Caenorhabditis elegans: one gene and its partners. The protein of the gene in region 2 interacts with the protein of the main gene of each other region in a biochemical or structural test. Each region holds a gene or a part of one and is shown on either strand. Other genes may lie near its edges.

Region 1 (9,196 bases), on a different chromosome or scaffold from region 2:
TTAAAAATGAAATGAAATCCAGGAAATTTTTAGAGCTTTTTTCTTAAATTTCAGCATGAAAAACGAATTTTCTGGTTTTTCCGGTAAAAAAATTTCCGGAAAATGGTTTTTTCTGAAAAATTTCGATAATGTTTTTAAAAAATTACAAAACGTGTCTTTTTTTGAAAAACATATTTTTTCATATTTTGGAGAATTTTTGATTTTTTTAAAACAATTTTTTTCAAAAAGCTTGAATTTTCAGGGCGACTTCGAATTTTTCAGACATTTTTCTCCAGAAAATTTCCAGATTAAATAAATTCAGCAAAAGTAGGAATTAAGATAAACGGCGAAATGATGATCTACTTCTCGGCGTCGACCTTCAACATATTCGGAATTCCATCACGAATCGGAAACACCGTCTTGGTTTCCGGGCAGATGAGTTCTCCGTCGATGACGTCAATGTTCATGAGCAAATGATGGAACACTCTGAGCTGCTCATCGGTCAGCTCATCCCATTTTTCCGGTTTTTCACGTGGAATCCGGTCGGATTGATTGACTGCGGCGGCGGCGACGATGAGCGCTTCGTATTGGATCTGGAAAATTGAATTGTTTGTTTGAATATTCATTTTTTTTCTTTGTAATGCCGATATTTTAATTACGCAAAACTGGTGAAAATGTTATTTTTCAGTTTCTAAAAAAACTCAACAATTTTTTTTTCTAAATTCAATTTTTCAAGGAAAAATGAAGAAAAACTATAAATTTTACAAAAAAAAGGGATAAAATTAAGATTTCAGGAAACGTTTTTGGTAAAATCAATTTTAAAATTCATTTTTTTTTTAGTTTTGAGTTAATTTTTTTCCTTGGAATTCTGAAAAAAATGCAATTTGAAGAATTTTTGAAATTTTGATAAATTTATAGAAAATGAATCGAATTTCAACAAAAAACCAATTTTCGAGAGGAAATTTTCAATGTTTTCACTAAATTCCCTAGATTTTCTGCAATTTTTCTCAGAAATTTTCCGATATTATTACCCTGTCAAGCATGACGATGGTGTTATCCCTATCGAATTCGATATCCTTCTCGACAAACTGCTTAACAACCAAATTAAGCGGATATCCAACGGTGACGTTTTTCAGAAAACGGGAAGACATGAAGTTGTGCACAAAGAGCTTCATCTGCAAAAAATTGGAAATTGTTTTTATGGAAATTTTGAAACTTAAAAAAAGGATTAAAGGACGATAAATATGATAAAAGTGCTCAAAAACACATTAAAAATATGGAAAATAAGAAAACATTTCAATAAATGGGTACAAAGTGTGTTCATTTGATAGCTCGAATCAGGGAAGTTAAGAAAAACAGGAAAGTGTAGTAAAAAAGCCCCAAACTAGGCAAAAAACCAGTCGACAAAACCAGAAAACACAGGAAAAAGACACGAAAAAGTTGGATCAAAAGAACAGAAAGAAGGAGAAAAACTATATAACTTTTAGATATTGAAAATGTCAATTAATATGGAACGAATCAGTACAGGATTTTTTGAGGTCTTTTGGACCATTTTTTGAAGCCATAAAGAACATAAAAATCACAGAAAATGATACAAGCAATATGAAGATCAGATGGAATTAAAAATTATATGGAAATTGAATTTTTTAGGGAAAAAACCAGGAAATGAGACAGAAATTGTGCCACGTGGATATTGAAAAAAAAGTCAGAAAATTTGATTTTTAGATTTTTTTGCCCAAAAAATTTGGAAAATTTCTGAAAAAACCTAAATTTAAAAAAAACCTGAAATTTTTAAATTTCAAGGGTGAAATTTTTAAAATTATCATTTTTTCAGAAAACTTTTTTCCGTCAAAAAACTGCAAAAATTCGAAAAAACAGCCGCATTTTTTAAAATTTTAACAGCTTTTCTGTACGAATACAATTTACAGGTTTCTTCAATTTTTTGAATCTTTTTTTCGAAATTTTTAAAAATTCATGTGGCACGAGGCATATATTCAATCTTAAAAAATTGAGATTTTTTCTTCGAATTCCGTCTATTTCTCTGTATTCTCGTCCTCCTCGTCGTCATCATTCAAATCCAGCCTGCCACGTGGCAAATTCACTGGATGGCACCGTTGTAACGGAGTTCTCATGGCTCCAGGAGCATTATGATTAGGATGAATCGGCGACATGTCGAACACAAAACGTCTAAAATCTTGTGGACCGCCACCACCACTGCCTCCGGAAGTGATAATCCCGCGGAGCATTGGGTTGCTGTTCGCCGAGCCCGGAAATCGACGTGGCGTCCAGTCGAGATCCTCGTGACGTGGCGTCGCGTTGGATGAAGAAGAACGGTCGAGAATCTCGTATTCGTTGGCATCTGGAAGAATTTGAGATTTTTGAGACGATAATTCGGAAAATATTGGAAATTTTTTTCAGATTGGAAAATTTAAATTTGGCAAAAAATTTGTTCGCATTTTATGTAACCCTTACAGTAACCTTGAGATTGAAAATTTTTAAAATTAAATTTTTAAAGTTTTAATTTAAAAAAAATGTTTTTGAAGAGATTAAGGATATTTTTCAAATTTCTGGGGTTTTTTTAAAAATATAATTCCAAACTTCAATAATTCCCAGTCATTTCTCTAATTTTTTAAAATTAAATTTGCTTTTTTGCTTGTCAAATTATAGAATACTCTTAAATATAATTTAATAAATCTAGAAAAATCGAATGAAAAGGCAAAAAGGGGTGTTGTGAATGAAGAATGAAGAGGTGAAAAAGTGAGAAAAGCAGCAGCTGATGACGAGAGATTTAGAGACGCAGGAGGAGTATTCTAAAGTCTCTTGGCAATGTGCCAGATGAGGAGAAATTGAATGAAAATTCATTTTTGGAGGGTTTTTTTGGGAAAAACAAAAAATTGGATCTTGACTGGAACATTGAGTATCAAAATGTAATTTTTCCGGTTTTTCTTCCCGTTTGTTAAAAAGATTTTCCGCATAAAAATCTTGCCGAAAATTTTTTACGGATTTTCTGAATTTAAAATTATTTTAAAAATAATATTTATGAATAAATCCGCAATTTTTCCTCAAAAACGACCGTACCCAAATGAGAATGAGAGAAGACATTGTGCTGATGATGAACAGCTTCATTTTTCCCTTCTTCCTCATTTCCATCAATTTCTTCTTCGTCAATCGAGTTCATCATACAATCATTGAGAATCGAGATATTAATTGCAATTTGTGATGCAGTTGCACCGGAAGTTGTCATACTTGTCTCCGGTTCATCAATGTCATCTGTCACGTCTTTACGTACTGGCGAGAGCGAGTCGTTCTGAAAAATTGCGAATTTTTAATCAAAAATTAGTTTTTTCCCCAAATTTCTTGATTGTCATTTTAGAGTGAAATTTCGAGAAAAAGTTTGCTTTCTCAACTTTGAGAGAGAAATTTGGTAAATAAAAAATTAATTAAATGCAGAAAAACTCAAAACTAGATTTATTTTTTCAAAATTCGCTTGAAATTTACAGTTTTATTTTTTAGCTAGTTTTTAGAAAAAAATCAGCTTTTTGGAAAAAAAATTTAGCTAAAATTGAAATATGCAGAAGCGTCTATAAAATTTCTCTAATTCTTTAAAAAGCGCATTTTGAAAATTATAGTTTTTTTTTGTCGAATTCCCAAAATTTTATAATTTTTTTAACTAAAAGTTGACAATTCCCGTCTAAAATTTGAATTAAATTTTGAATACGAAAATCTTTAAAAATGTGAAATCCGAGTTTTCAAATGAATTTTGATTTTTTTTTGAATATTTATTTTCAGTAATTAGTTTTTATTTATTTTTTAAATCTAAAAAAATTTAAATTTTGACCAAAAATTGCTCAAATTTCACAAAAAAAAGGTTTTTTTATTTTTTAATTGCTATTTTCGATAAATTTTAATTTTTAAGCTTTTTCAGAAAAATAGCGTCTAAAACTAATTTTTCTCTCCAATTTAAAAAAAAAATTTTTTTCCAGCAATTCCCATCGAAAATTGTTTATAAAATCGTACAAAATGTTGTCCATTCGTCTCATTTAGCATCAAATCATCGTTAGAGAGCATCGACGAATTTTCCACGTCATCAGCTTCATCCTCGTCATCTCTCGGAGCTCCCGGCGTTCCACCAGCAGAGAATAACCGTCGTCGCGTGGAGAAATTCGATGAAACCGACACATTGAACACTTCCTCGTCGTCCTCCTCGTCCTCCTCGTCTGGCTGATAGACGAATTGCTCGCCGAGCAACTTTTTCAGGTCCAAATCCAAATTCGGGGGAATTGTGAGCTCGGTTTGTGCTGGACGATTTCGAACTTGGCGAATGTTCCTGAAACTTTTTCGAAATGATATAGGGCTCAACTTCTGAATTTTTTTCAGGAAAATTTCGCGCATTTTGAACAAATTCGGCACAAATGTAGTGCATTTTTCACTACATTTGTTTTTTTTTAATTTTGGTGAAAAATTCATTTTTCAAAATTTTCATGTTTTTGATAATTTTATTTAAAAATTTCCAGTTTTGGCAATTTCTTCCACAAAAAAATTGTTCGCAATTTTTTTTTGTTCAATTTTTTCCAGTGGAATAAAAAAATTGTTCAATTTTTGACGCTTTTTAAACTATTTTAGTGAAATATCACAGTGAAAAAAGTAAAAATTTCAAATAGCGCACTAAAATTCTTTGATTTTTTTTTCTGATTTTTCGAAGAAAAATTGATTTTATTATGAAAAATTAGTTTTTTTCAAATTTTTTCAAACTTTTCCGCTATAAATGCAAAAATGTTTTTTTTTTTTACAAAAAGATATTTTCCTTTAAAATTTCGTCAAAATATGGGGAAATTCTACAAAAACTTTTTTTTTTTTCAGACCGAAAAATTACATTCCATATGAAAATTTATGTGTTTTCTTCAGTAGAAATACGCAAAAAATGTTTAATTTTTAACTTTAAAGGATTTTCTCAACAAATCCTTTTTTTTTTGAATTTTCCGTTATTTTCCGGTAATTTCCATACTTTCTAGGCCTTTGTTTGGGTGATGACGTGGCGTAGGCGGCCTTCACAGCCTCCTTTTTCCGTACAATATTCGCCAGTGATGCAGGAGTTCCAGCAGCTGCTCCTGGAGCCGATGATGACGTGGCATTCTCTTCGGCGCCATAAGTGAACGTGGTTACTGTACCATCACGATGTGATAGATTTATGTATCGGGGACCGTCTGGAGATGGAATATAACTGACATTTTTCGTCCAATACTCGTTGAGCACCTCCTGAATCTTCTCCTCCACCTCGGGAATTCTGAAAAAAATATATAAAAATTTGGATAAATATTAGAAAAAAAAGGCTAATATCGGATTATTTGCCAAATTTTTGGAGGAAAATTTGAATTTTCAAGCAGAAAATTGCCTGAAAATAAAGAATTTCGAGGGTTTTTATTTTTAAAAAATTATGAAAATCTGCTGGAAAATGGGATTTTTTGGCATAAAAAGCCAAATTTCAAGTTGAAAAATATTTTTTAAAGGGTTGTTTAATTGAAAAAAAATTGGGAATTTTAGCCGTTTTCTATGACAACTGAATAAAAACTAACTTTTTGGGGTAAAAATTAATTTTCAGACTCCAAAAACCGAAAATTTTGCTGTAGAAAATGAATTTCAAGCGAAAAATAAGAATAAGGCCCGTTTTTCCGGCCGAAATTGGATTTTCGAAAAAAAATTCAAAACATAGCCGACAGCTTGTGATTTTTCAGAGTTTTAGTATTAAAATGTATTAGAAACTGGCGGAAAATTAGATTTTTTTAATTCAAAAAGGTATGTAAATCAGCTGAAGATTTCAGAATTTTGGCGTTTTTTTTTTGCGTCAAAAAAATCAAATATTCATCTAAAAAGCTTGAAATTTTGCTAAAAAAAATTCCATTTTTCAGGACAAAAACTGATTTTATTGGAAAAAATCGGGATTATTCAGCCAATTTCCTAGAATCTTCGCACAAAGTGCTCAGTTGTTTCCCGTTCCTTACGGTGATCGATAGCTCGCCGCAATTTCATCGTCTGAAATATGCGCGGGCTTCAAAATGGCCAACTGTTCGATGCTCCATTGAAATTTTTCGCTGTCTTTCTGCTGACTACACGATTCTTGCTGGAAAAAACACAAGAATTTCCTCTTAAAAATCGTAAATAATTACAGAAAAAACGACGCGAGGGCTGAAGTTGATGGATTTGTGCAGGGAATTGAGAAGAATCGAGTCCAAGGGGTTTAGGCTGTTGTTGGCTATGAATGATGAAAGTTCTGCAGACATTGAGAGCTTGGGATCGCTGCAAATTGGATTTTTAGGCTTAGAATATAATTTAAAGTCCTAAAAAAGCTCACTTTTGCTGTGGTGTGATACTTTTAGAGTCATATCCGGAAGTTGACGGGTCAGTAGTCTGAAAATCAGGTTTTTAGAGATTTTTCTAATTTTCATTCGTACATTAATGCTTCTTAGCGGAGTTTTGAACCCGCTTCTCGCTTTGTTCGGAAAAATCTTGCTGGGACGCTCTGCGGCGATTGGCGACACCTTCCATTCAGCTGTAAGTTTAAGATATAATTTAAATATTTTATATTAAATTTTTAAAAAAATCGATATTACCGGTTCGCCCATTCTCATCATGCTCTAACGCGGTGCTGTTGAGTTGTCTAGACTCTTCCCCTTCGCAAAACGACGAGACATTGAATTCCATCTAGTTTCTAGTGCTCGAATAGCTGGAAAATTATTTTTTTTAATAATTAATGAAAAAATAAAATAAAATCACGGAAAGTAGCGTTTAATTTAAAGAAAATCACATTAGAAAATATAAAAAAGAAGAAAAAATTGCTTGTCGTAAAATAAAATACATGGTACGCAGCGGTGTTTGCACACAAACACGCACCGTAGTTTGAGCCACCACACCTAACATAACCCTGAGAAATCATAATTACCGGAACAATTATATACACTTATTGTGAAAATACATTTTTAATTGCAACATTTTTAGCATATTTGCAATTTTAGTTTTTTCAGAGTTCTAACTGTAAAAGTTTAATTATTTTTAACGTGAATAGTCATAAAATTAAACGTTTTCCCGAAGAGTTCATGTCTACAAAACACAAAGTTGTGAGGTCTCCTCAAGAAACTCCAAATTTTGTGTTCAAAAAACACACAAATATTTTTTATTTTTCTAATCTATGTTCCCCGAAAAAATGCGATAAACATCTTATCTATTCTCTAACATTTCAGGGTAATCGAACCGCAGTTTATGTGCAAAACGATGGGAAAGTTTTTCTTCTTCGGTTTTGTGTAGGTTTTTTTTCTAAAAAAATTTACAATTATTTCTAATTTTCAAATTTTCAGCGGACTTCTGCTTTCCTGGGGAGCTCTCTACTACCGATACAGTGACGAGAAGAACACTTCGGCGAGAAAATATCGATTTGATCCCCCGCCAGCACTCGTTGGCAACCTATTTATAAATGCGGGTCTGGAAAAGGCCGAGCACATCCTTGACGGAAAAATTGTTGGACCCGAATCTATGGTGGTAGATGATGAGGCGATTTATGTGTCTGTTAATGATGCAAAAGTGCTGAAAATCGTTGACGGCCGGGTTGTGAGCAAGGCTTCATACTCGGAAAAGTCGAAATTCTTCCCAGACTGCGGGCATTTCGATACGGAGCCCGAATGTGGACGGCCTCTTGGAATCCGTCGACTTGTGGCTGGAAAACCGAAATTCGTCGTTTGTGACGCTTATTTGGGAGTCTACATTGTCGATTTTACCGATGAGCAAAATCGTATGTGGAATTTCTGGAATTTCGCTCAAACAAATCCAAGAATTTTACATTTCCAGTTGTTGAAATTTCTGGATATTGTTTTTTACTTCAAATTTAGCTATCAAAAATAGTTTTTCCTGAATTTTTCTATTTTTCATGGAAAATCTCTTTTTCTTGCAAATTTACCACTTTTTCGAATTCCAAATGGCAAAAACTGGGTTATGTTGTTCAAAAAATTTTTTAATTTTCTAGAAAAAACAGAAAATCTTCTCCAATTTTTCCAGCAATCTCCACACAAATCCTGGACTCAAAGGTGCCAATCGATGGTCTAAAACCTCGATTTTTGAACGATTTGGACGTAATTTCAGAGGATGAGCTTATCATTTCGGATAGTTCAACACGTCACGACCGTCGGCATTTTATGGCTGCAATCCTCGAACATCAAGCCGACGGACGCATTTTTCATCTGAAAATCTCGACAAAAAGCGTAAAAGTGTTGGCTGATAAGCTGTATTTTCCCAATGGAATTCAATTAACGGAGGATAAGAAATCTGTGATTTTCGCGGAATGTAGTATGGCGAGAATCAAGAAATTGACGATTGCATCGAAAAAAGTGGAAATGTTCGCGGCCAATTTGCCAGGCCTTCCGGATAATATTCGTAGCAGTGGCCGTGGAACTTATTGGGTTGGACTTACAGGTTCGTTCCTACCTGCCTGCCGAAAGTCGAGAATTAAAAAAATCGAAATTTTGAAAGAAAAATCGGAAAATTTGAATTTCGAATCAAAACATTTTTTTTCTTAAAAAGATGTTTAATTCACCTAAAATTGTTTAAAATTTAAAAAAAATAAAAAATTTTTAACAATTTCAAATTTTCAGCGACTCGCTCAGCAACTCATCCATCTCTTCTCGACCGGCTCGGCAGTCTTCCTGGTAAAAATTTCTTTTTACAAAAAAAATTAGAAATCGTCACGAGACCCAGTTTAATCATTAGGTTTACATAATTATTGATTTTTTCGATTATTTCGGCGAGACCATCATGTAAAAAAGTTTCTAATTTTAAAAATTCCACCAGAAAATTGAAGCTTCGTCCGAAATTAAAATTGCTACCTAGTTTTAAAAAAAGTTTTTAAAAAAATCAAAATTCCAGGAATCCGGCAATTCCTTGTTGACATCGTGCCAGGACCCTACTGGAAACCACTTCTCGGTCTCTTCAAAAACCCGCATTCCATCATCATCGAGCTCGATTCCGTCGGAAAAATCGTCAGAAGTCTGCATGACGTCACCGGAAAACACGTGGGCGACGCGTCCCAGGTCACCGAACACAACGGGCATTTGTATATAGGAAGCTTTGCGGATCATTATATTGCTAAAGTTAAATTGTAGAGTTTTAATTGAAAATTAAAATTTAATTTACGAAAATCAATAGTTTCGGACACCTTGCCTTTGTGATACTTCTT
Region 2 (6,180 bases):
CTGTCTGTAGAACCTTACCCTCCTCTCTCTTTCTCTATGTCTTGTCATATCTGAAACGGGTAACATAGACGTTGTTGCGAAAAGCTGGGGGTGATGCATGGAAAATGATGAGGAGAGAAAAAGAGGAGACAATTCTAATGGCAAACCGTCTTCCGCGGCGACACGGATTCACCCTCCTTCGATCCATCAATTGCGTCGTCCGTCGGCGTTTTCTTGGACAACAGTTGTTATTCATTCAAAAAGGGGAAGAAGAAGAAGCGTCATTCAACATGAAATGCAACATTCTCTGAAATCTCTCAATTAGACCGGTTCCCCTCAGTTCCCTCATTCCGAAACCCCTCGAATTTGAAGATAAAGTTCAAACTGTAGATGTTAGTGGAAAATCGAGAGAATCAAACTATACACCTGATTGTAAAGGAATCGACAAGATCCTTCTCAATCCTATTTCTTGTTTTTTTTTTCAATGTTTGACTTTTTATTCAGGATTACATATGCAACCAGTAGAATGTTACGGCGGAATTTCGTCGATTTTCTCATTTAAAAATTTTTTTTTTTTTCTTTCTCATTTAAAAAATTTTATATATTACAAAACTAAAATAAAACAACTGAAAACGCATATTTAGATTTTTTTAAACAAAAATCGTGAGAGAAACCACGAAGAATCGAAGAAAATCCCACAGCAACTAAGGCTAGAAATTACAGTACTCTTTAAAGGCGCACTTCCGTTTGTATTTAACAAAAATGTCGTGTCAAGACCGGGTACTGTATTTTTGGCGCAAAAATCTTTAAACTTTGCGTTTGCTTAGTAAAAGTTGTCTTATATAAGTAATTAATTTATGAGGGGAACAACAAGAAACAACGACAAGGGGAAAGGGCTTAGGGAACAGGGATAAAAAGATAAGAACGTGGGAAAAACATCCAAGAAAGCCTTTTATAGGGGATGGGACCAACAAAACAAATAGACATTGGGTCCAACAAAACAAGGGCGAGAGGAAACGGGAAAATATTATATCAAAAAGAATATAACAAAGTAACGAGTTACTGTGGACGAGACGCATCTGTGGTTGATCAAACGGTGGTCGTAGGTCTACCTACGCATAGGTGAAGAGGCAGGTCTGACGATGATGCGCTATCGATGGTCTCTAGATCAGGGGTGAGCGGCAATCGGCGATCGCCGATCGCCGAAAGGGAAAAACGGGTCGGCGATCGGCGATTGCCGATGAAATTTTATAGTCCAAGATAGACCCCTCTGAAGAAGGAAGAAGGTATATTTTCGGACTATTTTTCACTACTTTTCGAATTTTAAGGTATCAAGGAGTGCTTTTCGTTGCCTAATATTCCTGTTTTTATAAAAAATTATTTGAAAGAGCTCTTAAAATTAGGATTTTAAAATTGAAAAAAATTAGACGCACACTGATCGGCAATCGGCAATTGGCGATCGCCGATTTTTTTTTGGCAATTTGTGATCGGCGATCGCCGAAAAAAAAATTTCATCGGCGATCGCCGATTTTTTTGGCCGGCTGCTCAGCTCTGCTCTAGATCTCTAGAAATCCAAAATTCAAGCAGAGAGCAAAAACAATTTAAACTATTGTATTTTTGATTTCATATAACAGTTTATGTCCAACTGTTACAGTAAAGCAGATCCCATTGGCATAATTTGAGACTATTTGGAATCGAACCTGTTTGGATATAAAATAAGTGACGGAAACTGTTCAGAGTGGCAAGTAATTAAACAGAACATTTGTTACTTTGCGACCGTGATCTTTGTAACAATCATGTTCAAATAATTGTCTCGGAATCAGTAAATATTATACACGCTTTTTCGAAAATTCTGAAATGGAAAGTTGAGGCAGATGAGCAGCTCAACTTGATTTTTCCCAATGTGCTGCTATCTACCAAAAATGAAATTGTCGAGAAAGTTTGGAAAAATGAAGAATACAGTTTAATAATCATCGGTACGTTTTATTTCGTGGGACTAATACCAAAAAAAGATGATTCAATTAGCAAAAAGAAATAAAAACGCAAAATAAAAATCGCCTCGCCCATGAATACAAACGAATGAAAAAGGGCTACAGCGGGTCTCATCAGTATTTACAATGAAATGAGCTACGGGAGATCGAGGACGGGGAATAAAGACATGTTGGATGCTGAAACATGGGACTAAAAGGGTCGATGAAAAACAGCAACAATAAATGAAGAGTACGGGTTAAATGTATAGAATAATACTTCTTGGAATTAATCAGGAGATGTAAGCAAATTCATGGAAGTGGCAAAGAGCACATACGGATCTATCGACGTGGGTGAATATTGGATCCACTTGCCGACTGGGGAAGGTGCGATGCAGCTTGATTTGGTCCTCGTGATCCTGCCGAAGCTGAACGAGCAGCTGCCATTGACCGTGGCATATCCGGTTGACGAGCTGGATTCTGGGATACAACGTTAGCATCGCTCATCAACCTTTCGATCATTGTCTTCGCATACTTCAGTCGGTGAAGGAATTTCTGTAAATTATACGTTATATTTGTTGATACTGAAATGGCGATTCAAACCTCTGGACATCCATTGCGCTGAAGATTGTTCAGCTTGTAGGTGAGCATACGCTTGTTTTGATCGATGAATGTAACTGCTTGCATTAATGGGCACATCATCATCTTGACATGATCCTGAAAATTATATTGTTGGGTGTTTCCATTAAATTATGAATTTGCTTACATTGAAGAAATTTATCTGAACAGTTCCATTGGAAAGGTGCAAAACAATTGCTGATTTGGTTCTGAACCAAACTCGAAGCGTTGGTAAACGAGCCAAGTCATCACCAGCTCTTTGTTCAGATCCTTCTCCAGCTTTCACCAAATGGTCATTCATGTAGGATCGAAAATACTTAAGCAATGTGACTTTCTTGTTGAGCAATCCAGGCATTTCACCTGAGTGCATCGAGAAGTAGTGCTCTTTGTTGCTCTTCTCAATATAGGTCAACTCGTTTCCAGCTTGATCAAGCATGATACGAGAATTGTCATTGAAGAGAACTCCGACGGAATTGTCACATAGTTGATATCCGATGCCATACTTGTCCGAATAGTCAACCCATTTCGAAATCCAGAAAACCGGGAGGCACTCTGGTGATTGATAACCATCAAGAGCAGCTTCTTCTTCTTCCAGCTGTAACAAACTTTTAATTTAAAAAAAACCTCTTGTTTATTCTTACCCCTGGAATACGCTGCTCTAAGAGCACAGCAACTTGGTGGAAAAGTTGTGAAAGGTATGCATCCTCGGGCTCCCGGAAAGTCGCCTCTGCAGCTTGTTGTTGAGCACGCTCACGATCGGCATTGTTCGACACGATGTGTTGTGGGAGGGCAGACAATCCAGCTCTTCCGTTCAATGGGCGTTGTGAACGAGCATCAACCCCTCTTGGAGCAACATTTTCCTCCATCATCGAAGTTTCGTGTCCTCCGAACTTTGGCACCATAGTGAGGCAGGAGACTGGAAGTCTAGTCGGCATGAATCCTGACTTGAAGAAGCCATCGCGTTGAACCTGTAGGGTTTTCATTCCGAGTTGAAGAGATTTCATAACTTATTTAAATATTCGAACTGATTTTTTAAAAATTGTTTTCGATCTCTTTACTAATTAGAACGAAGGGCAATCAAACTGAACGTGAACTATCTCTCAATAAAAGTTCACGATAAAATTCAAAAGTACAAATTTTCTAATGATGAAACTCGAATCTCCGATAATACTAAAATGATTTTCACTCCAGTTCAAAACTATTGAAATTACCTGCTTGGCAGTCGGACGACGTGTTGGCTCAGGATCAAGCATCTTGCGGATTAGGCTTGCTGCTGGTTGTGTTGCGATCGACGGAATGGTGTAGTTGTTGTGGCGAATGCGTGAGTATGTCTCTTCAAGCGATTTAGACTCGAATGGTGGTTGTCCGAAAAGAAGAATGTACAGAATGCATCCAACTGCCCAAATGTCAACTTCAAATGAGTGTCCAGCTTTGTTCAAAACCTCCGGAGCTATGTAGTTTGGCGTTCCACACAACGTTTTCTTTCTCTCATCACCGTTGACCGTTGTTGCTAATCCGAAATCTCCAATTTTGACAACTAGATCATCATTGAGGAAAAGATTTCCAAGCTTCATATCACGATGAATGATGTTCAGATCATGCAAATACAGCACGCCATCCACAATTTGATGAGTGAAATAACGAGCTTCAGGTTCGGTGACCGCCTTTCTTCTTTTGTGCAACTCCATCAGCGACCGTCTTGCACATAACTCCAAAGTGATATACACGTTGAGATTGTCCTCGAAGAAGTTGAATAACTTCACGATATTGATGTGTCCAAGCTCTCGATGAATCTGCACCTCTTGTGTCATCTGAAAAATCGTAATATGCACTGAACTAAGATTCGTTCATTGTCTACCTTATCTCTCTGGTATTGCTTGACGAGCATCGACTTCGGAACCACTTTTCCAGCGACAACCTCGCGTGTTGCTCGATTCGTAAGCTCATAACAGTGAGCGAATCCTCCCTTGCCCAAAAATCGTCCTTTCTCATAATAGGTCCCACGATCCTTGTCGGCGATGAGAGCGGGAACCTCTGGTGGAGCCTTCTCCTTTCTTTGGTTGGACTTTTGTGGGGGTTTTGCAATGTTGGGAAGTCGATTCATCTGAAATGCAACACAAAAATTAAAATATTCAGTATTAATAATTGAATAAACGTTTTTATTTCTAAAAATGACAAGAGGCGAGCTGGAAACTTGAAAAAGAATCGGTAAAAGTCATTTTAGGACGAAAATGGCGGACGGCAAATTCGAATGTTGATGCTTGGCGGGCGCAGGTCTCGCAGCGAACCGTGTGTCGATTTACGCGCCGATGAAAAAGGGTGCTAAACAAAACAGCGCGCTGTCATCGATCAAACATTTTCTGGTCAAACATAAATATCACGGAGACATTGATTTAAAAAACGGTTTTAAAAATTGAAAAATTTATTATTCAATGTACTTTCTGCAATAATTTTGTACATTAATGTTTTAAAAATTAGCAACGAACCTTTTTGGGCTTGTAACAGAACATTTGCACGTGTGTTAAACGATGCCAGATGTTAATAAAAGAAAAATTAATTTTAAATGGATTAATACGTATATTTTATGGCGTACGTAATACATTTTTACCACGTGTCTTCCACGTCTTACCGTCATTTGGAGAGAAGGCAGCTTCTCTTTTTGGATTAGTGGTAAGTTTTCGTGGTTTACACGCCTTTCTTTGACGATTAAAATGGATGGAAAGAGATACTATAACAATTTTATTTAATACATGAGATAGGATATTTAGCTTCAAAAACACTATATTTCCAAGACGGCATCTCAAAACATAAAATTATGAAAACGCAACAATGTTATACGGTTTGAAATTGTCAGTTGAATCTTTCAAAACCAGCAAGGACGTTTTCTTGTTATTCTCATCTGGAACACTGTATACATCAACTGGCTCGAAGCACTCAGTTTTGACATCAAAGCGCTCTCTGAAATTAATTCTAGTTTGCCTAACATCAGTTTTCTGCTCACTTTCTATCATAATTCGTACACTTCAAATCTCCTGTGACTTTTTCAACATTCACGTGTTTAGTGAAAAACCATTCTAGGACAACAAATTGATCATTTAAGCTGAGACGTTTCTGAAAAATAACAATTCTTCATTCCATGATGATTTTCAATACCTTTATCGCATGAGCAACTATATTTTCATCAATTCTGTCCGAATAAAAAGAAAAATTTGGAATTGCAATACACAATGCTAGAAATTGGTCGGTTGAGAAAGAACAGTGCTCCATAATACTCAGTGTTTTGCAATTTTGGAACTGAAAATGTATTGTACCAAAAATATTCAAAAATAAACATACTTACATGTGGAAGATCAAATATCTTGGACGGAATATCAAGTGGATATTCTCCATGAGGAGCAATACACAGCTCATTTAGAGAGTTCGGATCAACTCTTTCAATCCACCACTCCAACATTTCCAGAGATTCCATTTTTAGAAAAAGCCTTCTAACGATGATTTTTGGAATGTTCAAAAGCTCATTCGAACTACAAATACATTTGCTTGCTTTCTGAAATATCAAAATACGCGGAATTCAGATTAATTTTTTAACTACCAAGTCTATAAAAAGCTCGTCAAG
Region 3 (7,494 bases), on a different chromosome or scaffold from region 2:
ATTTCCAGACGGTTCGGCTTTACTTTGTGTTGGTTCTATTTTCTTTAAATTTTCTCCATCATCTTCAACTGCTTCGTCATCATATTTTCTTCCAATCATTGATAAAAAAGAGAAACCTCCAGTTGACGGATCATCACCATCTTTTCGTTCTTTCATCTGAAAATAATTTTTGTGTGAAAAATGTTTTTTTTTGTTGAAAACTCACTTCAGCTGAAAACGCGTCATCCATTTTGAAAAAGATTTCAGCTTTCTCAAAGCTCTCATCACCGCTTTCCTCGTCTTTTTCAACGACTTCTTCCTTTTTCTTTTCAGTTGAATCTTCGTCTCCTTCGTCACTTCCATTCCCATCTTCGTCCGAATTTGTACTTTCTTCAGTTTTCTTGACTTTTTGTGGATTTTTCGAAGCTTCAAAAGCTTTCATCCATTCCAAATGCTCAGGATTTTCAGGATCGAAACGAGTGAATGGTCGAGCTTTAAGTGTTGAAGACTCTATAGTATTTGGTTTTTTCTCTTCGACACTTTTTCCTAGAATTTTAGACAAAAGTTCTCGATTTTTATCTTTTTCTAATTTCATTTCTTGCTTTTCCGAGCTCTGCTCCATATTTCCATCTTCATCAGAATCACTTTCTGCAAACTTGTCGTCCAATTTGAATCGGGGATCACTATTGAAACGTGATTCTAGGTGCATCAGCTTTTCGCCTAAAAATTGAAAAATAGTTTTGGTTTAATTTATTTTAATTTTAGACAATACCTTTAGGACCAGAGTGTCTATTTTTGATTTCAAAATCTTCCTCCTCATCTTTATCGTTTTCATCTTCAGAATCGAAGAGTTTTGGACGTTTTGAACTGCGCGAGGTTTTCTGAATTATTCCAACTTAGTTTACGAGTATTGTCTTTACAGCAAACAACTTTATGAAATCGGGCAATTGCTGTTATAAGAGATTTTTATCTCAAAAAATTGAAAAACTTCCAACCTTTTCACCATTCGCGGCTGTTTTTTCTGTTTCTTCATCCTGATCATCCCCATCATCCGAATCTTCAAATACAATGCGTTTTGTCGTTTTTTTGTCAACATTAGCAATGTCAGCAGCAATTTGACGATCTCTTTCTCTCTGATCTTGAATTTTTTGCCTCATCGCGGCTCGACGAGCTTCATCTGAACGTTGACGTCTCTTTTCATCATTGTCTTCATCGTCCATTTTCTGAGATACATTTTGCAATAGTTTTTATGTGATTCTAATTATTTGAAAATCGCAGAAATTCGAACGGGAGACAACCGTTATTTGACAAAACTCAAACAGAAAAATGGAGATCAAATTTATTCTAGATAGAAGTTTGAGATGAATTAATTCAATCTATTAAACAGTGTGTGAAATAAGACAATTAACAATTTGAGGAGGTCAGATCAACAGTTACAACCAAGAATGAGGCATATTTTATGAAAAAATGTACTCGTGATGACAGGCGAACATAGAAAAAAGCGAGCTTTTTTGCTCAATATGTATAAGTTTTAAAAACAATTTTCTGCCACACATCTTAGGTCGAAACAGAAATAACCAGAAACCTGTCAGAGTTTGAAAGAAAATAATGATGATACAAAAGAAATGAGCGAATTTTTAAATTAATACGAGAAAATCTGAAAAAAAGATTTTCAGAAAATCTTTTCTAAAAAATAAATTATCCTTCTAGAGCCCTTCTACAAGCTTCAAGACTTTCGATTTGTTGATGTGTTGACTCGTAAAGGCCAGAGCAAATATTAACAAATTTGGTAAGCACTCTACGAGCATAGTGTTCATCTTCAATTGTCATATCAAACATTTTCCACATTGATTCTTGAAGTTTATCCGGTTTTGATTCCAAAATCTCGTAGAATTTGTCGACATAAAACTGAAATTAATTGTTTTATACAAAATTAAATCATAATTTTTTCTCACCTTCACTTGATTATGACGATTCATTTGGGCAAGAAGTGTATCAGCTTTAGCTTCAATTACATCCTCATCAGTGTCAATTTGACGTGAATATCTTGATACAATCCATTGTGCAAGCATAACACGAACAATTCTGTACGAGAGAGTTTTATGGCGATTACGAATAATCTCCATCTTAACAACTGCATCTGCATGTTCATGCTGAAATATGTATGACATTTGTAAACTTTCATCAAGTTATAACAACTTACATTAGCTTCTTCAACACGATTTCCCAATGCATTAATTGCCTCGTGGAATAGTTTCGACTCGCCAACTTGAGCCTTCTGTCTGTCTCTTAATGCTTCCCATCCACGTACTGGAACAGGAAGAAGTTTGTTTGGAGCTGGGTTTTCTTTGATTGCTTGTCTCCAAATACGCTCATCGATTCCTGAAATGAATGAAATTTGATACAATGCGAGGGAGGAAAACGAAAATCTTTGTTAATAAATGATAAACATAGTAAAAATAACGAGTAAACTAACCATCAGGAACTGTCTCCAAATATCTATCTCTTTGTGCTTTCGACATTCCAACTTTAGGAAGAACCCTTGTTTTATCCACTTGCAACTGCGATTCTAATTGGGTCATTTTTGGAGCATCATTGAGGATTTGAGCAAGTTTAATAGCTCCTGCAACAAATCCGCCTTCTTTGGCGATAATACAGATTTCTGTGCATCCATCAGAAAGTGTTCTCATCGAAGTACCAGGAGCATATCGAACTTCTACATTTGGTCCGCCACCAAGAATAGCTTTGATAATTTCAAGAATTTTGTCACGGCGTTCTTCTGTGTTCAAGTTTGTAATAGGATGACGCAGCACCAAAGTTACAAATCCCTCATCGTCGGTTCGCTCCGAAATACGATTGTATCCGATTCCCTGAAACGTGACACTGTGCAAGTTTTCAGTGATTTATAAAATAAACTTACAACAAATCGTTCAAACAAGTTTCCTTCCATTGAAAACGATAGAAGCTGATTTCCATCTTTGTATGGAGCTTTTCCGACACCCAAACCGGCAGCAACTTGATTCAACTTAGCAACAACTCCATCATTATCATTTCCAAAGAGCTTTGGATCTCCGACAGCTTTCACAAATGGGTGATACTGCTGAAAAAATTTTATTTGGAAAAGCGCTCAGATATTCTTAAGATTCATTTAATTACCTGAATAACTTGTTGCTGCTGAACAACAGGCTGTTGTTGTTGTTGAGTTGCTCCAAGACCACCAAGAGTAGACCCTGAGCTGGAACCAAAAAATCCGCCTGTAGCTGGCTTTGCAGTACTCGATCCAAAAAGCGTTGATCCCGCGGCTGTTCCAGTCGACGCTGCTCCGAATGGGGTCGATCCTGAAAATTGAGCCATCAAAATTATCAAAGTTCGTTAATTAGACAATTATATTCCAGATTCACGATAAAATACTTGAAGCAATGTTTTAAAGCTAATTAGACATATCTAAATTAATTATTTTTAAGATTTAATATTAGGTTTAGTTTTTTTTTTTTTTATTCGGTTTTTGATCTGACCCACCAAGTCTACTCAATTCTAGAAATATGAAAAGCTAATACAAAGTTGATGAATACCAACCTCCAAATGTTGAGTAGGGAGGACGATAAGCTGCTGGAGCCACATTCAAGTTGTTTGCCGGTGATAGAAAAGATGACTGTGGGGCATTAGTTCCTGGTAACGCAGATGGTGTGGCAAAAGATGTTGGAGTATTACCAGAAAGACTACCAGCCCCCAAAGTTCCTGATTTGAATGCTGCCAATCTTGTGGCAACGGGTGATTTGGCAGTTTGTTGTGTGGATCCAATACCGCCGAGACCTCCAGATGTCGTTGATGATGTTCCGAAGAGTCCTGAAGTTCCAGAAGTGGTTCCAGATGCCGGAGAATTTGTGAAAAGCGTGCGGTTAGCGTCATTGGGTGCTCCAAACAAATTGCGACGGGCTGGTGAACTAACATTCTGGGTTGCTGGGGCTGGAGCTTGAGATGCTGATGTCGTAGGTAAATCGGGAAGATTTGGAAGATTCTTCGGCATGTCTTCTGCTTTGATTCCGGTGATGCCCCCACGTCGGGCAAACATTTCTGCAGACGCTCGAGACGAAGAAAACGAGTAGCAAAGAGCAACACGGGTGATAGAAGAACAGGCAAAGAAATCCGCACGACACCGACCACGACAGAGAAAAGTGAAGGTAACGAACACAATGACGACGAGAGAAGTAGAGCGATAGGAGAGAAATAACAATTTTGAATAAAAATTAAGCGCAAATCACAGAAGTAGAACCTTGGTAGGTCAAATAATTTGTCAGATCAAAAAATATATTGAGTCTATTTTCTTTTTTCATTCATTTGTTGCTGGAATTTAGAATATAATTTTTTGGTCCAAAATGTATTACTTCGATCAATATGATTTATCGATTTCCCCTCCTTATCATTGTCTAGCTTTTCTCTCAACGAGACCACACAACAGCTAATAGTATAAACTAAGTAGAAGTGACCGAAAATATCGATAATTTTGAGTAGCTTACCGGTTGTAGAAGCACCGAAAAGACTTGGAGTAGCTGTTGAAGTGGTTGGAGCAGCACCAAACAAAGTTCCAGCAGTTGAAGTGGTAGTAGTTGAAGTGCCTGTCTCTGAAATTTAATATATTTCGGTTTAAAATGCAACTTTGATTACGAAGTAAGTTGTGTAAAAGTAAAAATATCAAACTTACTTCCAAACAATCCTCCAGAAGGAGTAGAGGTATTTGTTGTTCCAAAAAGCGAAGGCGTTGATGAAGCCTGAGCAGTTGAACCGAACAGAGGCTTTGATGGCGTTCTGAAAATAATATTTTTGTATAAAAATAATACTTCTTAAAATACTAACGTGCTTCCAAACAAAGTTCCAGACGATGTTGTTGGAGCATTCGGCGTTGGAAACGTAAATGCCTGTTTTTGGGGAGTAGATGACCCGAAAAGTGACATTTCGCTGAAAACAAACGATTTTTAAGAGAAATGGGGCTTGTGAGAAGAAAAAGAACACATATGTAGTTAATGCGAGAATTCTAGAATGAAAATAATAATATAAATAAGACAATGAGCCGAATTAAATCGATTTTTGGGGACGCTTTGGCGTGCAAATTTTTTCGAATTTTGTCTGTGTACGAAGGGGCGCGTTTGCTGGCACCCTCCTCGAAGATGAAAGAATACATATTCCGAAGAACATTCAACCGTGAAAAGAAATGCATGTTTCAGGTATTCAGTTACTTCGTATTTTGCGAAAATTTGATAACTCATTTTAATCAAGAATTCTTAAATTGAATTTCGATATAAAAGATATCAATAGTAACTTCTTTAGATTTCCAGTTGTTTTGTTGAAAAATTTTTTTTTTAAACCAAACGATCGTTTAAACGATACGAATAATACTTTATTTCAAATATAATACAACATTTTGAGATGAGATCAATAAATCGTTCGGTTCTGTTCTAATTAAATCTGATTAGACAAAGCAATCATAATCACCGAAATGACACCAATAACAGAAGAAATTGCCAACGTAGCATATGATCGGGTTCCTTGAATACTCTTGAATACAAATACATCAAGAGCTCCACTAATTAACGGTGGAAGACGGGCGGTACATGGATAGGCAACAACTTGAGATAATTTATCACTGGAGACAAACCAAAGTGTCATTCCTGAAGAACTAAACATTTGAACAATCGACCACGCATCTCTTACCTGTAGTCCATAAAATACCGTACCCAATCGATGGAATTATCAAATTCCTTTCCACGTAGGCTTTTCGACGCAAAATTACACAATACGCGAAGAAATACAGTGTAGAGAAGAGGAATACTGATGTGTAGAATGGGAAAATATAGTCAAACACTTGGAAACTATCAGTTGGTGGATTCTGTTGCTTCAAATATTCAATCGGTGACATCATCAAACCATGTAGACACGCAAGAACCATTGCCATAAGGATATAACTGAAAATTCGTTTTTTTTTTAAATTTCTAAGCATGCCCAACGAACGGTAATTTCTTTGCCAAACCAGCCATATCAAATGAAGAATCTCTTTCTGAATTGCTGAGTCTTTGCTCAATCTCTTCTTGATGTTCCATTTCCTTGCTGGTCACATCATATTCATTTTCTGGCTCCGTTTCCACGTGTTTCACGAATATCAAAAGAACTCCACTCACGATTGTCAATGCAATTCCAATATAGTTCAACACATCATTTTTCACATTCTGCGGGGCAATCCATTGGAACAGCCCGAATCTTGCCACTCCCCATCCGACAATAATCTTAAAGAAGAGTTTCAGAGTAGTTTCAGAGTAGTAGTAGTAGTTTCAGTATGTTTCAGAGTAAGCTTTCCGCGTAGACACAAAACGCCTGCCTGCATTTTGAGGCAATCTGCGTCTTCCCGCCAAAATTCCGAAAATAACGAGGTAGACGGTATGGGCGCAATTGCTGGAAATTTTGAAAACCAAAAAAATTGTATCACATTTCCAAAACCTCTGATAGTATTCAATTGAAATTCATGCCACAAATAAGTATTCAAGAAATAATTTTAGATTAAAATTATTTTGAAAAACCTTTTTTTTGAGACCCGAAGAACTCGTGGGATGTCCAACTGGGGGGATTACCAACTCGGGGGATTGGCCCCGCCCACAGAACCGTGGCTTGCAATACGCCCATTTCTGCAACTGCCGCACGGTTTTAAAACTGTATTTTTCTCAATAGAGCGAGAATTAACAAGAAAAAATAATTTTAGTTGCAAAAATTCAGTTGCAAAAATGGGCGTATTGCAAGCCACGGTTCTGTGGGCGGGGCCAATCCCCCGAGTTGGTAATCCCCCCAGTTGGACATCCCCCGAGTTCTTCGGGTCTCTTTTTTTTCAACATTTTTTGGTTTTCTTGAAATCAACTGTAATTCTGTCGCAGAAAAATTCTATCGTGGGTTGAATTCTACGTCTATGGCGGTTTTCATAATTTTTCCTCCGATATTTTTTGTTCCAACACTTTTTTTTGGTTTTCAAAAGTTCCAGCCCCTGCGACAAGTTATAAAATGAAATAAAAACCTGAAGACTAGTCCAAATCAAGAATCCAACTCCCATCCCAATTCCTTCAACAATTGGCACACTGAATACATTTCCAGTTGCATAAAGAAATCCTCCAATACACGCAATTGGCTCGAATTTTGGAAATCCACGTGCTGCGTAGAAGATGCAACCGACAATGAATACAACTCCACATTCAATCCACTGGACAAAAAATCCTGAAAATTTCGACTTAAAAAAGTTTCTATAATCCAAAATATACTCACCATCCTTACAATTTCTTCTTCTCAATGGAACAAACATTGTTCCAAAAGCGCAGCAAGAAAGAAGAAGTGCCACGTATCCGACGATTTGAAGTGAAGTATCTACCGTAGGAGCTACGGTAGAGCTCATTGTTACCTAAAAGTTTTTGCGTTACACATGATAATTACAAATGTTTGAATTGTAGAATTTCAAACAAATTGTTGAATCTAACAACCTAG
Region 4 (6,483 bases), on a different chromosome or scaffold from region 2:
TTCAAATATACAATTTTCAGCTGATGTTCAAACTGTGTTGGCCGCGGACGGAAAAACTCCATTTATTGTTCCACTTCAAGAAACAACACAAAAATATCGAGAAATGAAAGGAATGAATCCCGGTCTTGGAAATCTGTAAGAATAAACATTCGAATATTGATATCAGGATAATTTTATTACAGAAATGGTCCTGAATGGTATCGTCTGCGATCTTCAGTTCAACACGCAATGATGAGACCACAATCGGTTCAAACGTTTGCACAGTTTTATGATCTCAAAACCAAATTCTCATTTCAGATATCTTCCATTTTCTCAAATTGTGTCAAATGATTTGGTTTGTCACGTGGCAGATCAACAGAAAAGATTTGGACTTGTAGATATGCAAAAAGTCGCCGGAAGATGGTCACTCGAATCTGCTGGTCAAATACTTTTTGAAAAATCTCTTGGATCTCTAGGAAATCGATCGGAATGGGCCGACGGACTTATTGAGCTGAATAAAAAGATTTTTCAATTATCTGCCAAGTTAGGTTAAAGCAAACTTATGCATAATTGAATTAGATTTTTAGAATGAGACTCGGTCTTCCGATATTCCGTCTGTTCTCAACACCTTCTTGGCGGAAAATGGTAGATCTGGAGGATCAGTTTTATTCAGAAGTCGATCGCCTGATGGATGATGCTCTGGACAAACTGAAAGTCAACGATTCTGATAGGTTTGCACTTTAAGACTGGGAAAAGTTTTTACATATTCAATATACTCTAGCAAAGATATGAGGTTTGCAAGCTATTTGATCAACAGGAAAGAATTGAATAGACGAGATGTGAAAGTAATATTGCTGTCAATGTTTTCAGATGGTCTGAGCACGGTAAGCTGACTGTAACTTATTAAAATAATAAAAAAAACATTTTTTAGACTGCACCGATGCTAATATACAACCTATATAATCTCGCAACACATCCTGAAGCACTAAAAGAAATTCAAAAAGAAATAAAAGAAGATCCAGCATCTTCCAAGCTTACATTCCTCCGTGCTTGTATCAAGGAAACGTTCCGAATGTTTCCAATTGGGACTGAAGTTTCAAGAGTCACCCAGAAAAATTTAATACTGTCCGGATATGAAGTACCTGCTGGGACAGCTGTTGACATCAATACAAATGTTCTAATGAGGTATGCAATTTTAAAAATCTGATCACAATTAATGCTACATTTTAGACACGAAGTTCTGTTCTCTGATTCTCCCCGCGAATTCAAGCCTCAACGATGGCTTGAAAAATCGAAAGAAGTTCATCCGTTTGCTTATCTTCCGTTCGGATTCGGGCCACGGATGTGCGCTGGTCGACGATTCGCCGAGCAGGATCTACTAACATCACTTGCCAAGCTGTGTGGAAATTATGATATTCGTCACAGAGGAGATCCAATAACTCAGATCTATGAAACTCTTCTTCTACCACGTGGCGATTGTACCTTTGAATTTAAAAAATTGTAATTTTTCCATTTTAGATCAAAATATTAAAATTTTTCTTGTATTTTTACTATTCTTCTGTATGATAAATTAAGCTCGATATTATTCTTGTTTCTTGCTTCCCCAGTTGGGCAAATGATTTACTTTTGTTCAAAGATTTATTTCTAAAAAAAAGTGAAATTGTAATTAGGTTCATGCGCTCCATCGACACTCGACAGAGAGACGGTGGAGACGCAGAAATTACCAGACGGAGAAGTAAATTTTCGAATTGAATTAGTTTTTCTCTTTTAAAGTGGGTTTCCTTCATTTTTATATTTTTATTAACGAAGTATATTAATTGAAATTTCATAAATAATATATTTTCAGCCATGCTCATCACCCATCTCATCGATTCTCTCAGCGACAGAGCTGTTATCACTCCCTTAACTCCAACGAGTGTCATTATTTACGATAAAAATGAATTAAAAGTTTATGTCGGATTCACAAACAATCGTAATAGCTTAGAATACACAAAGGAAGTGGTTAGTAGTCGTGAATTATAATTTTTTGGTATAAAACGTGCTTTCAGGTTCTTCTCCTGTCGACAGAGATTCCAAAGAAAGCGGAAATTCGTGAAATTATTGTTTCTAAAAATGGTTTGTAATTAAAAAATCTATGAAAATAATAAAATTTTTAAGGCGACTATGTGATTCTGGAAGGTCCGAGAAGTTTATTCGTTGTGAGAATTGGCGCTGAGATTTTAGTGGCAAAACCTGATCGTTTGCCATCTGAATGCTTTTGCGAGTGAGAATATAAAACATTTGATATAGTAATAATATAAATTCAATTTCCAGATGCTACCCTCTCCACGACAGTCTTCTTCTTCAGAATATTTCGCTCTCGGTCGTTAAAGTTCGCCTTTTACCTGAGAAATGTGACGAAAAGACTTTCGTGACCGCAGTTCTCTTCTCGGATAACTGTATTAGGTTTTTCTCGAGATTCTCGCTGATAATATTTTTTCTAAAATTTTAATTTTCAGATTCTACAATCTCCAGAAAAAGTTCGATTCTCTGCTTTTAGCGGTTGATTTTCGAAATCATCTTCACCAAGTACACGATGAAAATGTGGCAAATAACACATTTGGACTTCAGAAGGCATTAGGTTTGTGTAATTGAGAAAAGTGCTCAATAATCTATCAAATTTACAGTTTCCTTCGATTTGATTCCTCCAAAACCGAATACTTCGCATTTTTCAATAATTTCCATTGATTCCGACTGTGATTTCTACACTTCATTCGTCCATTTTTCATGTTTTAAAGAAGGTTATGCTCCTCGTATTCATCGTATTGAACCTGTCGACGGACTCCCATGTGATCCACTGGATCTTCGATACATTCAAACTACAAATCCTCGAATCTGTTCGGTTTTCGTATTGGTGTCTGGTGGTGGAGTTCTTAGTCATCTAGTCGTTTTTCCAAATGAGTTCGGAGAATTTCGGTTAGTTTTATTTTTCGAAAAGTTTTTTTTTGAAACAATTTTTTTCAGATTTCTTGTGAAGGATCAACTTCGTCTCCCATCATCAAATGGCGATCCAAGAATAGTACAAAATCAAATCAGATCATTGAAAGTCAGCAGATATGAAATTGCAACATCTTCTAGTCTTTTCTCAGTCAACATCTTCCCCTGGTTTGAAGCTTTGACTTCTATGTACGTTTTTTTACAAACGGCTGTGCGCCTTTAAAAAGTACCGTAGTTTTAAACGTTCGTTGCTTCACCGATTTCGCATAGTTTCTGATTAAAGGTTTATTTATTTGCTTAAAAAACTAAAATAAATCAATCAAAAACACATAAACTTCGACAACTTGAAGAAAATTCTACGTCAACGAAAGTTTGAAACTGCTGTAATCATTAAAGGGACACAGCCATTTGTAGTCGTGTCAAGACCGGGTACCGTATATTTAGATCAGATTAAACAATTTTTTTAAAGCTCGCCAACATCTACTCTTGAAAAGGAGACTCGAGTTTCCGAGCTTGTCGATGCAGTTATTCCATCTGATGAACTTTCGAACACTACTAAATGGACTGGAGCTCGTGCGCTTCGTGCTGTTTCAGTGCAACTGACACAGAGCCTGGCAACAGAGGAAGAAGAATTGCTCCCCGAATCTGAGAATATCATGCATTTGGTGATTCTTGAAAACAAAGATGGTCAACCTGCTCATTTATTCAACATCTCCACATTTGATAATATATGGTCAACTGAAAATAAGACATCTTTTGGAAGAGATTCGGTGTCCCAGCCACCTATGAAAAGTACGGGCTCTTTGGAGCAGCAACTTGCTGCTTTGAAACCACTTGCAGCTTGCGTGTAAGTTCAAATTATTCAAGTTTTTATTCTTAATTGTACTAATTTAGAATCTCCGAAAAAGTATCATGCGAAGAGGCAATTGATGCCGCTATGAAGTTTTTCGATGCAGTTGATGAAAGATTGAAGAAGCATTGTGAAATCTCAAAGTTATTCGTGGAGAGATGTCTCGCAGTCTCTTCAAGTGCTCAAGCTCTTGATGAAAAGCAACAAAGTGTGGATCAACGACTGATTGAGGTAAATAAAACTTTTTTTTGCATATTGTTGATTTATAAATACATTCTTTTCAGGAAACAAACACTGTCGAAGAATTGAAAATTCGAATGCACGAAACAAAAGAAAGAATGGAAGGTGCGCGAAAAGGAATCAATGTGCTATTCCACCGGGTTGACGAAAATGTCCCATTAAGTGACAATGAAATTCGAATTTTCGAGCGTCTCAAGGAACACCAGAAAATGCTCTCGGATATGACAAAACTAGTTCCGAAGGTGACCAGTATCTTCAAATTATACACAACAATAAAACTATTTTTACAGATGACATTAGATTCGAATGAGATCCACCGAATGGCCAATATAGTGCTGAAAAAACGTGGAACAGGCGAAGAGCAGAACAGATTTGCAGCTGTTGAGAAAAAGTGAGATTTAAATTCAAATGGCAATGTTTCAAAAATATCTAAACATTTGCAGTGCTACCGAAATCGAAAGCTTGGAAGCTCGCGAGAACAAACTGAATACCGGAATTTCTGAGCTTTCTATCTGAAAGTTAATCTTATTGTAATGTTTTGATATTATTGTTGTTGAATGAATCACTGTTTCCATTCCTTTCTTTATTAAAAAAAAACAGCAAATAGAAAGGCAAAATTGCATACAGAAAATGCGAAAACTTCTAACCGTTTCTTCTTTGTAAGAAGCTAAGATGTGGTACCAATACAGAAAAATCATTGGGTGAATGTTGAGCAGGAGGAGGCAGTAAAATGTATAATTTGATGTGTATATGTAAAGTACATTTAAAATATGATTATTATGAGCTACCAAATTCGAGACGACGTTTGGCAGTGGAGCAGCTCGATGAAACTTCATCAGGAGAATCTTGCGGAGATCTTTTTCGTGGGGTCAAAAACTTTTCAGACTCCCCAGCAAGTTGAAGTGCACGCTTCACGCGATCCGCTAACAGTGGCTCTTTCCTCAAACTACGATCTCCCATCACGAAGATTTCCCATTTTGTGGCCATGCGAGGGCAATTGTTGATAACCTGAAAAATTTCTAAATGAAACAGACAAGAAATTTGATAAGCATACATAATCTTCAGATGGATAGAATCCGACAACTTGTTTCCCTTCATGCTCACTCGGTTTTCCATCGTAGAAAATCTGACGTTCGATTGGATGAGTTTTATCGTCCAAACCTCTACCAAGGACGGAATGCTGAAAATTATATAATTTTGCTCAGCACCAGGACGGAAATAATCTTACCATTACAGTGAACTGAATATCCTTCAGTTTTCCATCCATTTCTTCAGTATCATCCATTTGCTCCAAAATTTCTTTCATCTTTTGTCCAACTTTTTTGACAACTTCTGCAGCTCCAGTCTGATTGTTGCAATTCCCCTTCAACTGCGTCGCATTTTCTGGATTCATTTCAAAATAACCAAGCTTGCAACCGATTTCTCGTCGCTGGATTTTCAATAGAGCTGTCTGAGCTTCAATCATTTTTGGATCCGTGATCTGGGAGTTGAGAATCTGAAATTAAAAAAAAAAACTAGTTTTGATGTTGTTTAGTTATCTTCTCGCAATACCTCCTGCTCTACATAATCCGTAGTTTTCAAGAAAGCATCAACGTCTTCTGTGACATTCTTCAGTGAGTATAGTTCTCCATTTGATCCCTTATACTTCAGGAAGTCACCTGCATTGATCAGAGCATCCACCATTCTAAAATATGAATATTTCTTGTTGTAAAATAAAATCAGGCTTTACAGTGTTTCCATGAATCTAACGGCTTTATGTTGATAAACTTTCGAATGAAGTTCTTGTCGTGAATCGCCGATTGCTTTCAAGTCTCCGATGCATTTGATAGAGTAGGCGATTCTCTTCAATCCACTATTCGGATCAATTACTACACGGACATGATTGAATAAACGTTCGAGTGTTGATTCACTGAATGTAATACCAACTCCCGATGCTTTTGAATCTCTGAGCAAATAATCCATTTTGTCGACATCATGTCCGTTATAAGAATTGGAGACAACGTCGAATAGAAATGATTTTTCTGGTCCACAGCCAATGATAGCCCATTCATTTTTGACTGTTTCCTCACGCACGTCAGCAGGCAAATCTTTAAATCCGTCCATATCTTGGAAATCCTGAAAGAAAAACAATTGTCATCAAATATCCTATTTTGTCAATTACAAACCACTTACAAATGGTTTTCCGCTGATAAGTTCTGTGATAAGCGTAACACTTTTTGCATACTCTTCGTCAGTTTCACCAAGAATGCAAGCAAATTCAGATTTTATTTCTGGTTTATTCATGATTTTCTTGATGATTAAAATAGACATATCCTCATGCTTGAATCTGCTTCCATTGCGTTTTGCGAATTCTCCATCAAACAGATGAGAGAATGGTCCATGTCCAACATCATGAAGTAGAGCAGCAACTGATGTGCAGATAAGATCAGATTCTGTGA

The links.
Region 1: of the proteins of plk-1 (region 2) and spat-1, one has a biochemical effect on the other in vitro, tested with the Caenorhabditis elegans proteins (one study listed by BioGRID).
Region 3: the proteins of plk-1 (region 2) and npp-1 interact in a test that uses a peptide from one of them, tested with the Caenorhabditis elegans proteins (one study listed by BioGRID).
Region 4: the proteins of plk-1 (region 2) and npp-24 interact in a test that uses a peptide from one of them, tested with the Caenorhabditis elegans proteins (one study listed by BioGRID).

The regions. Positions count from the first base shown.
Region 1 is NC_003280.10:14,526,258-14,535,453, reverse strand, and holds spat-1 (Protein aurora borealis), read right to left. Parts: upstream 6,703-9,196; 5' UTR 6,679-6,702; coding exon 6,588-6,678; intron 6,527-6,587; coding exon 6,429-6,526; intron 6,385-6,428; coding exon 6,329-6,384; intron 6,274-6,328; coding exon 6,144-6,273; intron 6,098-6,143; coding exon 5,979-6,097; intron 5,264-5,978; coding exon 4,985-5,263; intron 4,313-4,984; coding exon 3,997-4,312; intron 3,287-3,996; coding exon 3,058-3,286; intron 2,339-3,057; coding exon 2,013-2,338; 3' UTR 1,280-2,012; downstream 1-1,279. Other genes in the region: C04H5.1 (Multifunctional methyltransferase subunit TRM112-like protein), read right to left, coding at 339-572, 1,011-1,154; F57C2.5 (Strictosidine synthase conserved region domain-containing protein), read left to right, coding at 7,234-7,274, 7,329-7,759, 8,023-8,436, 8,616-8,669, 8,887-9,122.
Region 2 is NC_003281.10:8,099,836-8,106,015, reverse strand, and holds plk-1 (Serine/threonine-protein kinase plk-1), read right to left. Parts: upstream 4,669-6,180; coding exon 4,423-4,668; intron 4,376-4,422; coding exon 3,776-4,375; intron 3,533-3,775; coding exon 3,206-3,532; intron 3,160-3,205; coding exon 2,713-3,159; intron 2,664-2,712; coding exon 2,550-2,663; intron 2,502-2,549; coding exon 2,289-2,501; 3' UTR 1,947-2,288; downstream 1-1,946. Other genes in the region: K06H7.1 (uncharacterized protein), read right to left, coding at 5,378-5,522, 5,566-5,675, 5,718-5,858, 5,905-6,111, 6,157-6,180. UniProt on the Caenorhabditis elegans protein: Required for oocyte nuclear envelope breakdown before entry of oocyte into spermatheca. In meiotic cells, required for spindle dynamics and probably for spindle attachment to the chromosomes. Zygotic role in the development of the germline and nerve cord.
Region 3 is NC_003282.8:9,855,929-9,863,422, reverse strand, and holds npp-1 (Nucleoporin Nup54 alpha-helical domain-containing protein), read right to left. Parts: upstream 4,936-7,494; 5' UTR 4,932-4,935; coding exon 4,834-4,931; intron 4,786-4,833; coding exon 4,682-4,785; intron 4,602-4,681; coding exon 4,497-4,601; exon of another isoform or gene 4,052-4,496; coding exon of another isoform or gene 3,826-4,051; coding exon 3,556-3,825; intron 3,318-3,555; coding exon 3,136-3,317; intron 3,080-3,135; coding exon 2,900-3,079; intron 2,850-2,899; coding exon 2,456-2,849; intron 2,362-2,455; coding exon 2,183-2,361; intron 2,133-2,182; coding exon 1,935-2,132; intron 1,888-1,934; coding exon 1,678-1,887; 3' UTR 1,312-1,677; downstream 1-1,311. Other genes in the region: K07F5.14 (NUC153 domain-containing protein), read right to left, coding at 1-156, 206-699, 752-860, 975-1,199; K07F5.12 (Transmembrane protein 144 homolog), read right to left, coding at 5,437-5,645, 5,689-5,939, 5,986-6,257, 7,034-7,230, 7,279-7,405.
Region 4 is NC_003280.10:5,504,415-5,510,897, forward strand, and holds npp-24 (Protein npp-24), read left to right. Parts: upstream 1-1,677; 5' UTR 1,678-1,751; intron 1,752-1,825; 5' UTR 1,826-1,827; coding exon 1,828-1,980; intron 1,981-2,027; coding exon 2,028-2,094; intron 2,095-2,136; coding exon 2,137-2,242; intron 2,243-2,292; coding exon 2,293-2,424; intron 2,425-2,477; coding exon 2,478-2,599; intron 2,600-2,645; coding exon 2,646-2,934; intron 2,935-2,982; coding exon 2,983-3,144; intron 3,145-3,424; coding exon 3,425-3,802; intron 3,803-3,849; coding exon 3,850-4,036; intron 4,037-4,089; coding exon 4,090-4,287; intron 4,288-4,335; coding exon 4,336-4,436; intron 4,437-4,488; coding exon 4,489-4,561; 3' UTR 4,562-4,619; downstream 4,620-6,483. Other genes in the region: cyp-44A1 (putative cytochrome P450 CYP44), read left to right, coding at 21-135, 183-254, 298-522, 567-710, 761-863, 911-1,164, 1,210-1,483; Deoxynucleoside triphosphate triphosphohydrolase sahd-1, read right to left, coding at 4,823-5,053, 5,100-5,225, 5,274-5,540, 5,597-5,729, 5,775-6,160, 6,218-6,483.